2 linked regions of the Saccharomyces cerevisiae S288C genome follow. The protein of the gene in region 2 binds, or shares a complex with, the protein of the main gene of each other region. Each region holds a gene or a part of one and is shown on either strand. Other genes may lie near its edges. A codon is read from its position in the direction of its gene.

Region 1 (7,916 bases), on a different chromosome or scaffold from region 2:
CATTTTCTACGCCTCGTAATATTTCAGCGCAGTGGAAAAAAATTGAAAATTTTTACTCTTCTCGAGTGTTGAATCACTGCTGCGATACTTATCACGTACTTTGTATACATAATTTTACTTGCAATTAGGACTCGAAATCTGTTCAATTACTTTTGAGGATTTCTTTTATTTTAGTTTCCCTTTTTGCATTCGTGTTGATTTTCAAGAAAAATTGTCGTTCTTCAATATCAGTAGACGATTTTACTCTCAGATTGTTAAAAAATCGGTTAAGATTAAAAGAATGAGTGTAGAAGATATCAAGAAGGCTAGAGCCGCTGTTCCATTTAACAGAGAACAGCTAGAAAGTGTTTTGAGAGGAAGATTTTTTTATGCCCCAGCTTTTGACTTGTACGGTGGGGTTTCTGGTTTATATGACTATGGTCCACCAGGTTGTGCATTCCAAAACAACATCATTGACGCCTGGAGAAAGCATTTTATTTTGGAAGAAGATATGTTGGAAGTTGATTGTACTATGTTAACTCCATATGAGGTTTTGAAGACCTCAGGTCATGTTGACAAATTTTCTGATTGGATGTGTAGAGATTTGAAGACTGGTGAGATTTTCAGAGCTGACCATTTAGTCGAAGAAGTTTTGGAAGCTCGCTTAAAGGGTGACCAAGAAGCCAGAGGTTTAGTCGAGGATGCTAATGCCGCTGCTAAGGACGATGCCGAAAAGAAGAAGAGAAAGAAAAAAGTTAAACAAATTAAAGCAGTCAAATTGGATGACGACGTTGTCAAAGAATATGAAGAAATTTTGGCTAAAATAGATGGTTATTCCGGCCCAGAATTAGGTGAATTGATGGAAAAATACGATATCGGTAACCCAGTCACCGGAGAAACTTTAGAATCTCCAAGGGCTTTTAACCTGATGTTTGAAACGGCTATTGGCCCATCTGGTCAATTAAAGGGTTACTTGAGGCCAGAAACTGCCCAAGGTCAATTCTTGAATTTTAACAAGTTGTTAGAATTTAACAACAGTAAGACCCCTTTTGCCTCAGCCTCTATCGGTAAATCATTTAGAAATGAGATTTCCCCAAGGGCCGGTTTATTAAGAGTCCGTGAATTTTTGATGGCAGAGATTGAACATTTCGTTGACCCATTGGACAAATCTCATCCAAAATTTAATGAAATCAAAGACATCAAGCTTTCCTTTTTGCCTCGTGATGTTCAAGAAGCTGGTTCTACTGAACCAATTGTCAAGACAGTTGGTGAAGCAGTTGCTTCAAGAATGGTCGATAATGAAACTTTGGGTTACTTTATTGCCAGAATTTACCAATTTTTGATGAAAATTGGTGTTGATGAGTCCAAATTGAGATTCCGTCAACATATGGCTAATGAAATGGCACATTATGCTGCTGACTGTTGGGATGGTGAATTGAAGACATCTTACGGGTGGATTGAATGTGTCGGATGTGCTGATAGATCTGCCTATGATTTGACCGTTCATTCCAAAAAGACCAAAGAAAAATTGGTTGTTAGACAAAAATTAGATAATCCAATTGAAGTCACCAAGTGGGAAATTGATTTGACGAAAAAATTGTTCGGTCCAAAATTCAGAAAAGATGCACCAAAAGTTGAATCTCATCTATTGAATATGTCTCAAGATGACTTGGCTTCCAAGGCTGAGTTATTGAAGGCAAATGGCAAGTTTACTATAAAGGTTGATGGTGTTGATGGCGAAGTCGAGTTGGACGATAAATTGGTTAAAATCGAACAAAGAACAAAGGTTGAACACGTTAGAGAATATGTTCCTAGTGTCATTGAACCATCTTTCGGTATTGGCCGTATCATCTACTCCGTTTTTGAGCACTCTTTCTGGAACAGACCAGAAGACAATGCCAGAAGTGTTCTTTCCTTCCCACCTTTGGTTGCTCCAACAAAGGTTCTTTTAGTTCCTTTATCTAACCACAAAGATTTAGTTCCTGTTACTACTGAAGTCGCCAAAATCTTAAGAAAGTCTCAAATCCCATTTAAGATTGATGATTCTGGAGTTTCCATTGGTAAAAGATATGCCCGTAATGACGAATTAGGTACTCCATTCGGTGTCACCATTGACTTTGAATCTGCCAAAGACCATTCTGTCACTTTGAGAGAAAGAGATTCCACCAAGCAAGTTAGAGGTTCCGTCGAAAATGTCATCAAGGCTATCCGCGATATCACTTACAATGGTGCTTCTTGGGAAGAAGGTACCAAGGATTTGACTCCTTTTATTGCCCAAGCTGAAGCTGAAGCTGAAACTGACTAAATAAATGACTTAATTTTAACTATATATCGCCAAACATGTAAATTAAAAAAAGAAGCGAGAAGTATATACATGTGTGTATGAATAAATAATTCGTTTACTATTGATACGTATTGCAAGATATGATTATGTACTGTCCACTAATACGATTATTTTGGAAGTTTATAAAAGAAGTGCGGAAATCACATCTGCTGTTTATTTAGCCATTCCTCACACTAATAGTTAAAGTACTTTCATAGCAGCTCTGCGCATGGTCGGACATGCGAAAAATTCTGATATCAAGAAAAAGCGAAATATTTCCGGCCTTGTAGGGGCCAAAACATTAACGTATATCAAGATTTCCTGTGGTAGCAACATTATAAGAAAAAAAGGTAGCCTTCATTGAAACATTCTCTCTATCAGCTTACCAAGTTAAACTCCGTATTCCACAAGCAAGTGCCAAAATGTCTTCTTCCCAGGTCGTCAGGGATTCTGCCAAAAAATTAGTTAATTTACTGGAAAAATATCCAAAGGATCGTATACACCACTTGGTCTCATTCAGGGATGTACAAATAGCAAGATTTAGACGTGTAGCGGGTCTGCCAAATGTAGATGACAAAGGAAAATCTATAAAAGAGAAAAAACCCTCATTAGATGAAATAAAAAGTATAATTAACAGAACTTCCGGTCCATTAGGACTGAATAAGGAGATGTTAACCAAAATTCAAAATAAAATGGTAGATGAGAAATTCACGGAAGAAAGCATCAACGAGCAAATTCGTGCCTTGAGCACTATAATGAATAATAAATTCAGAAACTATTACGATATTGGCGATAAGCTCTATAAACCTGCAGGAAATCCCCAATATTATCAACGGTTAATAAATGCCGTTGACGGTAAGAAAAAGGAAAGCTTATTTACTGCAATGAGAACTGTATTATTTGGTAAATAAAGAGCACATTATTTTCTAAGCTTGTAAATACATATTTATTCATAATGGAGAACGTTATTCAAATTTATCTGTGAATTTCTTTACTCGAGGTATACTTCCGCAAAGGAAATTCTACTTAGCAAATCCTATGGTAACGTCATTGTTTTGTAGCTTGTAAGTGGAGCCTAACTGATTCTTGATTTTCGTAGCATCAGCAACGGTCTCGTATTCCACGAAAGCTAGGTTACGAACGCTAACTAATCTGATTTCAACTAAAGCCTCATTGCCAAGTATTTGCGACAATAATTGCTCGGTAGTGCCGCTTGGCAAATTTTGTATAAGAAGGACTTTGTTCGGTGGATTTTCCATTGTATTGGACACTTTAGCCCGCTTAAGAGGTTTCTGCGATTGTTTTAGATTTTCTTGCTGAGACTTCATGTTTTCCAATCTACGGGTTTCAAATTCTTTTACAATCCTATCAATCTCAGCCTCCTCTACCTTTCTTGATCTCAGCTTATGCTTCAGGCGTCTTATTTGCCTTTTAAGCCTGAACTTTTTGGCGCATATATCATCACTACGTAACTTGCGTTTAAGTTTCCTTGCTTTAAGCACCTTCTTTATATCAAGGTTGTACGTTTCGTCATTACCTTTTTTTTTTTGCATTTCTATTGAAAGACCCAATAACGAATTTGTTCGAGCCTTTCCCATTCTCACTTTACGACCTTGAACTTTTAATGCTGTTGTCGTGTATTTTTCTAGAAACCGGTCTGCTTCTTCTTGAGTGACAAACGTTAAAAATGCTTGGTTAGTCATCTTTGATGATCTTGAAATAGAAACTTCAAGAAGGCCCATTTGATCATCTAGTAACATCAGCGGTTGTGATGATATTTGTAATTTATTGTGGGGAAGGGGTAGCGACGGATTAATGGCATACTTGTTGTTGGGATTAATGTGTTTCAGAAGTAATCTGGTATAATTTTCTTTATTTGCTGGCCTACTGGGTAAATTTTGAAAGTACAGTCTGTTTTTATTGGTCATAGAGTATAGAATAATGAAAACGTTAGTAGAAAGAAGATTTAAGGAAACGTAAATTACAAGGTATATACATACGCTGACATGGTTTCTTTAGGTTTGATGAGGCCGTCTTTTGTTGATAGCAGCTTTTTCCATTTTTTTTTTTTTTGTTTCGAGTAACGTATGGTTTAGTATCTGTCTTCTCCTTCTCTTACAAAAAAACCCTTTGTAAAATAGTGCCGAGTTGGAGGACATCAATCTGATGGGCAAGAAAACACCAACCCCCCCTATATGAAAAGAAAATGATAAGCAGATAGATAAAAATACTTAATTAACTAATACATAAAAATAAGAGGTATATAAAAATATTATATGGAAGCAATAATTATTACTCTTATTTCTTAGCAGCCTTTTGAGCAGCCTTGGTAACCTTAGCGGCCTTTTCAGTCTTGTCAACAGACTTGATAACACCGACAGCGACAGTTTGTCTCATGTCTCTGACAGCGAATCTACCTAATGGTGGGTATTCACTGAAAGCTTCAACACACATTGGCTTAGATGGAACGAACTTGACCAAAGCAGCGTCACCGGACTTCAAGAACTTTGGATGGTCTTCCAACTTCTTACCAGATCTTCTGTCGTTCTTTTCCAACAATTCGTCGAATCTACAAGCAATGTGAGCAGTGTGACAATCCAAAACTGGAGAGTAACCAGCAGAGATTTGACCTGGATGGTTCAAAACAATGACGGTAGCGTTGAAAGAAGCGCAACCCTTTGGTGGATCGTTCTTAGCGTCACCACAGACGTTACCTCTTCTGATTTCCTTAACGGAAACGTTCTTGACGTTGAAACCAACGTTGTCACCTGGAACACCTTGTTCCAATTGTTCGTGATGCATTTCAACGGACTTGACTTCAGTGGTAACACCAGCTGGGGCGAAAGTAACAACCATACCTGGCTTGATGACACCGGTTTCAACTCTACCGACTGGCACAGTACCAATACCACCGATCTTGTAAACATCTTGCAATGGCAATCTCAATGGCTTGTCAGTTGGTCTAGATGGTTGTTCAATGGCGTCAATGGCTTCCAACAAAGTCTTACCCTTGACGACACCGGCCTTGGTTTCCTTTTCCCAACCCTTGTACCATGGAGCGTTGGTGGTAGCTTCAATCATGTTGTCACCGTTCCAACCAGAGATTGGGACGAATGGAACAGTCTTTGGGTTGTAACCAACCTTCTTGATAAAGTTGGAGGTTTCCTTGACAATTTCTTGGAATCTGGATTCGTCCCATTTGACGGAGTCCATCTTGTTGACAGCAACAATCAATTGTCTAACACCCAAGGTGAAAGCCAACAAAGCGTGTTCTCTGGTTTGACCATCCTTAGAGATACCGGCTTCGAATTCACCGACACCACCAGCAATAATCAAGATAGCACAGTCAGCTTGAGAAGTACCAGTAATCATGTTCTTGATGAAATCTCTGTGACCTGGAGCATCAATAACGGTAACTTGGTACTTTGGAGTTTCGAACTTCCACAAAGCAATATCGATAGTGATACCTCTTTCTCTTTCAGCCTTTAACTTGTCCAAAACCCAAGCGTACTTGAAAGAACCCTTACCTAATTCAGCGGCTTCCTTTTCGAACTTTTCGATGGTTCTCTTGTCAATACCACCACACTTGTAAATCAAATGACCGGTAGTGGTAGACTTACCAGAATCGACATGACCGATAACGACAACGTTAATGTGAGACTTCTCTTTACCCATGTTTAGTTAATTATAGTTCGTTGACCGTATATTCTAAAAACAAGTACTCCTTAAAAAAAAACCTTGAAGGGAATAAACAAGTAGAATAGATAGAGAGAAAAATAGAAAATGCAAGAGAATTTATATATTAGAAAGAGAGAAAGAAAAATGGAAAAAAAAAAATAGGAAAAGCCAGAAATAGCACTAGAAGGAGCGACACCAGAAAAGAAGGTGATGGAACCAATTTAGCTATATATAGTTAACTACCGGCTCGATCATCTCTGCCTCCAGCATAGTCGAAGAAGAATTTTTTTTTTCTTGAGGCTTCTGTCAGCAACTCGTATTTTTTCTTTCTTTTTTGGTGAGCCTAAAAAGTTCCCACGTTCTCTTGTACGACGCCGTCACAAACAACCTTATGGGTAATTTGTCGCGGTCTGGGTGTATAAATGTGTGGGTGCAACATGAATGTACGGAGGTAGTTTGCTGATTGGCGGTCTATAGATACCTTGGTTATGGCGCCCTCACAGCCGGCAGGGGAAGCGCCTACGCTTGACATCTACTATATGTAAGTATACGGCCCCATATATATATATATATATATACATTAAACATTATTGGTAAATACACCAGCAACCGCATGATTGATGTTATGGTGGAATATAGGTAGCTAAAAAAACTCTACATAACAAAGTAATTGTTTACATTGATCTTGACCTATCAAATTTCTTTCACATTTTGGGTTTATAGGTCAATATATTGATATATATGTGTAGCTATTTTCGCTTGCTTTCAAGTCACTTCTTAATGGTGGCTCGCTGTCTCTCCTTTGCTAGGGACAAAAATTCGCCTTTAATGGCACATATGCCATGCTTTGAACAGGGAACACGATATATAACGTCATTGCTCGGACATGTTTGGGTGGACCTTATTCTACATGTTTTACTTTTCTCGTCATAATGGCGATGACAGGAAGGGCAAGCTCATCTCCCCAGCTTTAAAGGGTAGCTCAAGGAACACCTACTTCTCCTTGTTGGGAGGAGTCCTGAATAAGGAGTGTCGAATATAGGGAGCTTCATTCGTTGTCAAGAGAATACCAGATCACCTGTTTGGATATATAAACGAGTGTAATAATGCAGAATTATTCCATTTATTTCAGTCGTATATTCAATTGGCTTGTCCCCTCTTACTGTAGTCTTCGATTTGTAACCTCTACGTAGACGATTATACCTTACTAATCAAAAAAAGAACAAAAAAATGGCACAGTTCTCCGACATTGATAAACTTGCGGTTTCCACTTTAAGATTACTTTCCGTTGACCAGGTGGAAAGCGCACAATCTGGCCACCCAGGTGCACCACTAGGATTGGCACCAGTTGCCCATGTAATTTTCAAGCAACTGCGCTGTAACCCTAACAATGAACATTGGATCAATAGAGACAGGTTTGTTCTGTCGAACGGTCACTCATGCGCTCTTCTGTACTCAATGCTCCATCTATTAGGATACGATTACTCTATCGAGGACTTGAGACAATTTAGACAAGTAAACTCAAGGACACCGGGTCATCCAGAATTCCACTCAGCGGGAGTGGAAATCACTTCCGGTCCGCTAGGCCAGGGTATCTCAAATGCTGTTGGTATGGCAATAGCGCAGGCCAACTTTGCCGCCACTTATAACGAGGATGGCTTTCCCATTTCCGACTCATATACGTTTGCTATTGTAGGGGATGGTTGCTTACAAGAGGGTGTTTCTTCGGAGACCTCTTCCTTAGCGGGACATCTGCAATTGGGTAACTTGATTACGTTTTATGACAGTAATAGCATTTCCATTGACGGTAAAACCTCGTACTCGTTCGACGAAGATGTTTTGAAGCGATACGAGGCATATGGTTGGGAAGTCATGGAAGTCGATAAAGGAGACGACGATATGGAATCCATTTCTAGCGCTTTGGAAAAGGCAAAAC
Region 2 (6,395 bases):
AGCTGCAGCTTCAAAATTAGAGTCTTGATTCAATAAGTCCAGAATTTGTAAGCTCTCAGCGTTGCTGAGAACTGTACCATTAAGCCAAAGAATCATTTCCCTTTTGCTCTTGTATTTACAGTTCAATTCGATGTGTAAATTTCTTAAACGCTTATCGACCTTATTGTTGATATTTGGCGTAGAAAAAAGCTTATCCAAATACTTTTGCTGAGTCTCCTCATTCTTTACTTCCAGGATTTCTTGATGAAGATTATAGTCAAAGTCAGAAAAAATTGTGACGCATTTTTCGATACCGATCCTTGAGAGAAGAAGATCAAAGTTCGTCTCGATAACTTCAGTAACTTTGCCACATTCTAAACTTCCAGGTGGGCATTTTTTGAGTATGTAGTCGGTTATGGATACAATGTCCGTGTTATATTCTTTTTCGATGTCCTTAGTTTCTAAAATAAGTGAAAGCGCACTGGCGTACTTATTTTCACTTTTATAGATATGGAAAAGAACTTTATTGAAATTTTTTTCTTTTAGTTCCAGTATAAAATTTTCTGTTGTTCTTGAATGATAATAGGGTAAAAGCGACTCCAGAGCTATTTGAGAAATTTCATATATACCTTGAACCCTAGAGGAGCATATGGTATTAACAACGCAGTCGAGGGCTTGGTTAGACACTTTAATAAATTGAGGATATTTTGATATACTAGTTGCAATGAAAATTGCAACAAGTACCCTGATGTTGTCTGAATTTCCCGTATCTTTCATAGCATCCAATAGTAGATCAATAACATATTGCCTACTTACCAATTCTGCTTCTCCAACTGATGCAACCATGTCATTGTCATCGTTAAACAAGGACGCTTCAAACACTTCATTGAGCATTGCTAAGAACCTACTCGGATTCGATTTCAATAAAAGGTGAAAGTAAGGAAATGCTGGCTCTTCTTCTGGATTTTCGCATATGTAAAGTTTATGATTGCTGTTCGACGGCCATTTTATGGAGAAGCCACTAAAAATAAATGCTGAAAGTTCCCTTTGTATTTTGGAGCATTTATCACTTGGTGATATAGACAAGTTTTGTGGATATTGCCTGCCAGTAAGGATATACGTTACGTAATCAAATATAGTCGTTTCAGGAGGTACTTGAGGACCATTGAAGATCACACATTTTTCACTTTGGTTAGAAATCCTGTATATCAAGTCCACCACTGGGGTTTGATAATCATCAAAGATCTTGTTCCAAATATATATTAATAAATCGAACAAATTATACTTTTGGCATAGTTTGACGGCAAGATCAACATCAAGCGTAGTAGGATTTAACATGATGATTAAGTCTTCAATTACTTTTAAATTCTCCTCCTTAGCATAGTAATCAATTATGGACCTGAAAAGAACTGGGGAAATTGACGTAACTGATCCTTGGGCAACAATATTTGCTACAACTTCAAAATATACCGCGTTGTCCTTCAATTCAAAGAACTCCAGACCCTGTTCCAAAAAGACGTCTAGAGAAGGAATTGAGTCTAGTTTTTTGGAAGATTGCTGCAAAACACGAACAACTACCATTAATAATTGGTAAACCCTATTGTAGTCGGCATTATCTTTTTTTATAAGAAACCTTAGGGCAGCCAAGGACAGATTGTAAAATGGTTCCATAAGTTGCTTAGTCCTCTCTTCCGTATTATTATCTAGCTTCAACAAGTTTGCCAGTGGACAGTAAGGTTGCAAAAGTGATTCTATGAACTCCAATGCACCCAAGTAGTCGCCTTTCAAAATATGTCTTAAAGTAATATCTGACCAAGACACAAATTTGCCAATTTTAAATGAGTAGTTTGTTAACAGGTAGAAACTTCTTCTACTTATTACAAAATATTTATTAGGTGGGATCATCAAATCGTGAATCAGAAAATCCAATCTTAACAGGATCTTGAAGTCATGTTGGGGGTGCAATACCAAAAATTGGTGCGATATGGTTAAAACACCAAGTAGGAGCTGGTCAATCCATTGAATGGATAATATAGATTCTGCAAATTCAGGAGAATGGCTAGCGGACTGAACATTGAAGTCTGATGAAGATATGGAAATAACAGAAATTTTATTATTTACGGAATAAGCAACCCTGGAACAGTTTTGAGTCCATGAAATAGAGCTATTCACGACTAGAGAATTTTGTACTGAGGGTTCAACAGTTTCTTGAAACATCAAAGAAACGTGTGGCGATAATAAAATAAGGGCAAAATGTGTAGTTGTGAGTACACTCAACAAATTAGTGGAAATTTTCTCCCGTGATATTAGTGGAGACAACTTTGACCTTATTAATTTCTCCTTGGAAGAGTTCACATCTAAAATTTTTTTTGAATTATACACCAACTGCCAAAAGCCTCTTCTGTAACCGTTATAGAGTGATACTTTACCTGTCCTATCACTAACAATCAGGGCTGTATGCCGAGCACCAAAAAAGTCTAACCCTGTGATTTCCTTGTTCACATGGTCATCGATGTGTAAGACTGCCGGTAAGGCAGGCGTTGGGGTCATACCATTTGTTGGTTCAGAAGTGGGTTTCACTCTATACCCTACGTTCAAGTTCCAAATGCATATATTTCCGGTCTCGTATGAGGCAGCTACATGAGTACCATCGGAACATATGACAATTGATTTCACTGGACTTCTTATTGAGTGAATAGAAGGGTCCTCAGATAAGGTCGGCACTAGGATTGTCTGCAAATGTTCATTATAATTAAAAATGAGTACGCATCCTTTAGAAGTGCCCATCAAAAAATACGTGGCTGTCGGATACAAGCACGTGGGCCCTCCATAAGCACCCAGGATGGAATATACGTGTGTTAAAGTTGTCCATGAGACTACGGATTCGGAGCCTTGTGACACTGCAGAAGCTACCCCTTTAGGACCATCTTCGTTCAGGGGAGGTGCCGTATATGAAGAACTAGATGCCAGTTTTTCACTTAATTGGGTATACGATCTAAATTCTAGGAAAGTCTTTTGAGTGTCATTAATAGTCGTATCGATGCTAGATCTGCTGTCGTGGTCAAGGCCATTTTGCTCCATTCTAGGTGTAATGAGTAATGGTCTCGGCAGATATATATTTTACACTTATTAAGCCTTTGTATGTATTGGTAATAACTGTCCTTTTTCACGCAGGTATATCATCGTAACCAGAGGTTCCCTTTTTTTTTTTTCCACAGGAAACTCACGTTTTGATTATATGTCTTTCTCGTTTTTGCCATGTTAAGCTACGAATAATGAAATTTTCCTTTTCTTCTAATCGTGAAAAAGTTATCCACCATAACTCCCTACACCGCGTATTTTCGACAAGATATTATGAGTATGTGTATTTAAGAATATGAAAAGAGATATACATAACTTGAATATTCCCGGAATAAATTCAATTAATAAACACGATTCCTTATATAGTGGTTACACAAATTAGTAATAATGTTTCGTGTGCAGTCGAAAAGTTTATCGTTCAAAATTCCTTCTGTTTTTTTTAGCCTAAAACCTAAGTTATTTCGTTGTTTTTTTCATTTATTTGTTAATCTTTACAATGTTGTTTTTGCTTTAATGTTAATTATAAAAAGTTTATAAAAAAGCCTTTTATAATTTTTGCATAGCAGCAATATCGGTAGATTGGACGTGGTCTTCGTCTTCTTCAATGCTTTGTTGCAAGTCATCCAAGGAAACCTTGTCATCTTCGACAACACAGTTAATTTGCAACTTCTTGATACCGAAACCAATTGGGATAAATTGGTGAGCACCCCAGGTCAAACCTTCCATTTCGATGGCCTTGACGTTAGCAACCATTTCTTCCAAATTGGTTTCATCATCCCATGGCTTGACATCTAGAGTGACAATGGACTTAGCAGCTGGCTTAGCTGGCTTAGCAGCCTTCTTAGCGTTGTATGCGGCAATTCTTTCAGCCTTCAACTTTTCAGCTTCAGCGTCAGCTTCTTCATCGTCGGAACCGAATAAATCGACATCGTCATCTTCTTCTTCTTCGGCAGCGGCAGCAGAGGCAGCTGGGAAAGAGTCGAATTCATCGGCCTTGGAAGCGATGTGGTTGAACCATCTGGAGAATTCTGGGTAAGCAGATTGGAAAGCCTTGAAGACAGTGACGTCAGCTTGAGAAACAGCAGTACTATTTTAAAAGGAGAAACAAAACATTTTGCTTGTTAGTAATGAGAACTTTTTTCTTGTAATGCAATCTTTAGACTCTGTCTTTCTTTTTTTGAACAAAAAAGGAAAAAAAAATAACAGATAACTAATAATGATACTCTGCTCTGTGCTATCGTCAGATACTGTGATAGTCAACCACATCTCTTTTGTCACTCATATCGGGGGTCTTACTTCCCATCATAAACACGGACCAAAGAATTAAATTCATCATTCACATAAGCGAAAAAAAGTAATCATTATTAGTTAACTTCCCTTTACATGTAACCATAGGAAAAAAAAAAAAGAAAGAAAAACAACGATCTATAAAGTAAACTAAATCGGAACATACCCTTCAATGTATGACTTGTCAGCCAAAGAAGCGTTTAATTGTTTCAAAGTTTCAATCTTGGAGAAATCGGTGGATGCCATTATGTGTGTATATATTCGGTTGGACTCTTCAGTGCTGAAAGGTAGAAAGCATGAGGTAAAAAGATAAAGAGTAGAAGGAAAAAAAAAAGAACCAACTAAATATAGTGGGTAGATAACCTTAAACTATTTATTTAGAGGCGACAATGTGAAAAATTTTTTCTTCAAAGGCTCGGTTGTCGACAAATTGTTACGTTGTGCTTTGATTTCTAAAGCGCTTCTTCACCTGCAGGTTCTGAGCCCTAAGAAAAAAAATTTCCTTGGTTGAAAATGGCGGAAAAAAAAAATTCAGAAAAAGAAATAAAGCACGTGTGCGCGGTGTGTGGATGATGGTTTCATCATTGTCAACGGCATTTTCGTTCTTGTGGATTGTTGTAAACTTTCCAGAACATTCTAGAAAGAAAGCACACGGAACGTTTAGAAGCTGTCATTTGCGTTTTTTCTCCAGATTTTAGTTGAGAAAGTAATTAAATTATTCTTCTTTTTCCAGAACGTTCCATCGGCGGCAAAAGGGAGAGAAAGAACCCAAAAAGAAGGGGGGCCATTTAGATTAGCTGATCGTTTCGAGGACTTCAAGGTTATATAAGGGGTGGATTGATGTATCTTCGAGAAGGGATTGAGTTGTAGTTTCGTTTCCCAATTCTTACTTAAGTTGTTTTATTTTCTCTATTTGTAAGATAAGCACATCAAAAGAAAAGTAATCAAGTATTACAAGAAACAAAAATTCAAGTAAATAACAGATAATATGTCAAAAGCTGTCGGTATTGATTTAGGTACAACATACTCGTGTGTTGCTCACTTTGCTAATGATCGTGTGGACATTATTGCCAACGATCAAGGTAACAGAACCACTCCATCTTTTGTCGCTTTCACTGACACTGAAAGATTGATTGGTGATGCTGCTAAGAATCAAGCTGCTATGAATCCTTCGAATACCGTTTTCGACGCTAAGCGTTTGATCGGTAGAAACTTCAACGACCCAGAAGTGCAGGCTGACATGAAGCACTTCCCATTCAAGTTGATCGATGTTGACGGTAAGCCTCAAATTCAAGTTGAATTTAAGGGTGAAACCAAGAACTTTACCCCAGAACAAATCTCCTCCATGGTCTTGGGTAAGATGAAGGAAACTGCCGAATCTTACTTGGGAGCCAAGGTCAATGACGCTGTCGTCACTGTCCCAGCTTACTTCAACGATTCTCAAAGACAAGCTACCAAGGATGCTGGTACCATTGCTGGTTTGAATGTCTTGCGTATTATTAACGAACCTACCGCCGCTGCCATTGCTTACGGTTTGGACAAGAAGGGTAAGGAAGAACACGTCTTGATTTTCGACTTGGGTGGTGGTACTTTCGATGTCTCTTTGTTGTCCATTGAAGACGGTATCTTTGAAGTTAAGGCCACCGCTGGTGACACCCATTTGGGTGGTGAAGATTTTGACAACAGATTGGTCAACCACTTCATCCAAGAATTCAAGAGAAAGAACAAGAAGGACTTGTCTACCAACCAAAGAGCTTTGAGAAGATTAAGAACCGCTTGTGAAAGAGCCAAGAGAACTTTGTCTTCCTCCGCTCAAACTTCCGTTGAAATTGACTCTTTGTTCGAAGGTATCGATTTCTACACTTCCATCACCAGAGCCAGATTCGAAGAATTGTGTGCTGACTTGTTCAGATCTACTTTGGACCCAGTTGAAAAGGTCTTGAGAGATGCTAAATTGGACAAATCTCAAGTCGATGAAATTGTCTTGGTCGGTGGTTCTACCAGAATTCCAAAGGTCCAAAAATTGGTCACTGACTACTTCAACGGTA

The links.
Region 1: the proteins of EFB1 (region 2) and TEF2 are in contact, whole or in part, in a crystal structure (PDB 2B7C), measured with the Saccharomyces cerevisiae proteins. Residues at the interface, in NP_009398.1 of Saccharomyces cerevisiae: Lys120 (codon at 3,870), Ser121 (codon at 3,867), Ile122 (codon at 3,864), Thr124 (codon at 3,858), Lys128 (codon at 3,846), Pro129 (codon at 3,843), Trp130 (codon at 3,840), Asp131 (codon at 3,837), Asp132 (codon at 3,834), Thr152 (codon at 3,774), Trp153 (codon at 3,771), Gly154 (codon at 3,768), Ala155 (codon at 3,765), Gln157 (codon at 3,759), Ile159 (codon at 3,753), Pro160 (codon at 3,750), Ile161 (codon at 3,747), Gly162 (codon at 3,744), Phe163 (codon at 3,741), Ile165 (codon at 3,735), Gln169 (codon at 3,723), Asn171 (codon at 3,717), Val173 (codon at 3,711), Val174 (codon at 3,708), Asp176 (codon at 3,702), Val179 (codon at 3,693), Ser180 (codon at 3,690), Leu181 (codon at 3,687), Asp182 (codon at 3,684), Asp183 (codon at 3,681); in NP_009676.1 of Saccharomyces cerevisiae: Lys20 (codon at 5,920), Ser21 (codon at 5,917), Lys64 (codon at 5,788), Arg67 (codon at 5,779), Glu68 (codon at 5,776), Arg69 (codon at 5,773), Gly70 (codon at 5,770), Ile71 (codon at 5,767), Thr72 (codon at 5,764), Ile73 (codon at 5,761), Asp74 (codon at 5,758), Ile75 (codon at 5,755), Ala76 (codon at 5,752), Leu77 (codon at 5,749), Trp78 (codon at 5,746), Val89 (codon at 5,713), Ile90 (codon at 5,710), Asp91 (codon at 5,707), Ala92 (codon at 5,704), Pro93 (codon at 5,701), Gly94 (codon at 5,698), His95 (codon at 5,695), Asp97 (codon at 5,689), Phe98 (codon at 5,686), Lys100 (codon at 5,680), Asn101 (codon at 5,677), Gln249 (codon at 5,233), Asp250 (codon at 5,230), Val251 (codon at 5,227), Tyr252 (codon at 5,224).

What each region holds. Positions count from the first base shown.
Region 1 is NC_001134.8:475,732-483,647, reverse strand, and holds TEF2 (translation elongation factor EF-1 alpha), read right to left. Parts: upstream 5,978-7,916; coding exon 4,601-5,977; downstream 1-4,600. Other genes in the region: GRS1 (glycine--tRNA ligase), read left to right, coding at 281-2,284; CBP6 (Cbp6p), read left to right, coding at 2,725-3,213; MUD1 (Mud1p), read right to left, coding at 3,325-4,213, 4,303-4,310; transketolase TKL2, read left to right, coding at 7,211-7,916. UniProt on the Saccharomyces cerevisiae protein: GTP-binding component of the eukaryotic elongation factor 1 complex (eEF1). In its active GTP-bound form, binds to and delivers aminoacyl-tRNA to the A-site of ribosomes during protein biosynthesis.
Region 2 is NC_001133.9:140,372-146,766, reverse strand, and holds EFB1 (translation elongation factor 1 subunit beta), read right to left. Parts: upstream 4,594-6,395; coding exon 4,514-4,593; intron 4,401-4,513; exon of another isoform or gene 4,299-4,400; intron 4,148-4,298; coding exon 3,607-4,147; downstream 1-3,606. Other genes in the region: CORVET complex membrane-binding subunit VPS8, read right to left, coding at 1-3,060; Hsp70 family ATPase SSA1, read left to right, coding at 5,336-6,395. UniProt on the Saccharomyces cerevisiae protein: Catalytic subunit of the guanine nucleotide exchange factor (GEF) (eEF1B subcomplex) of the eukaryotic elongation factor 1 complex (eEF1).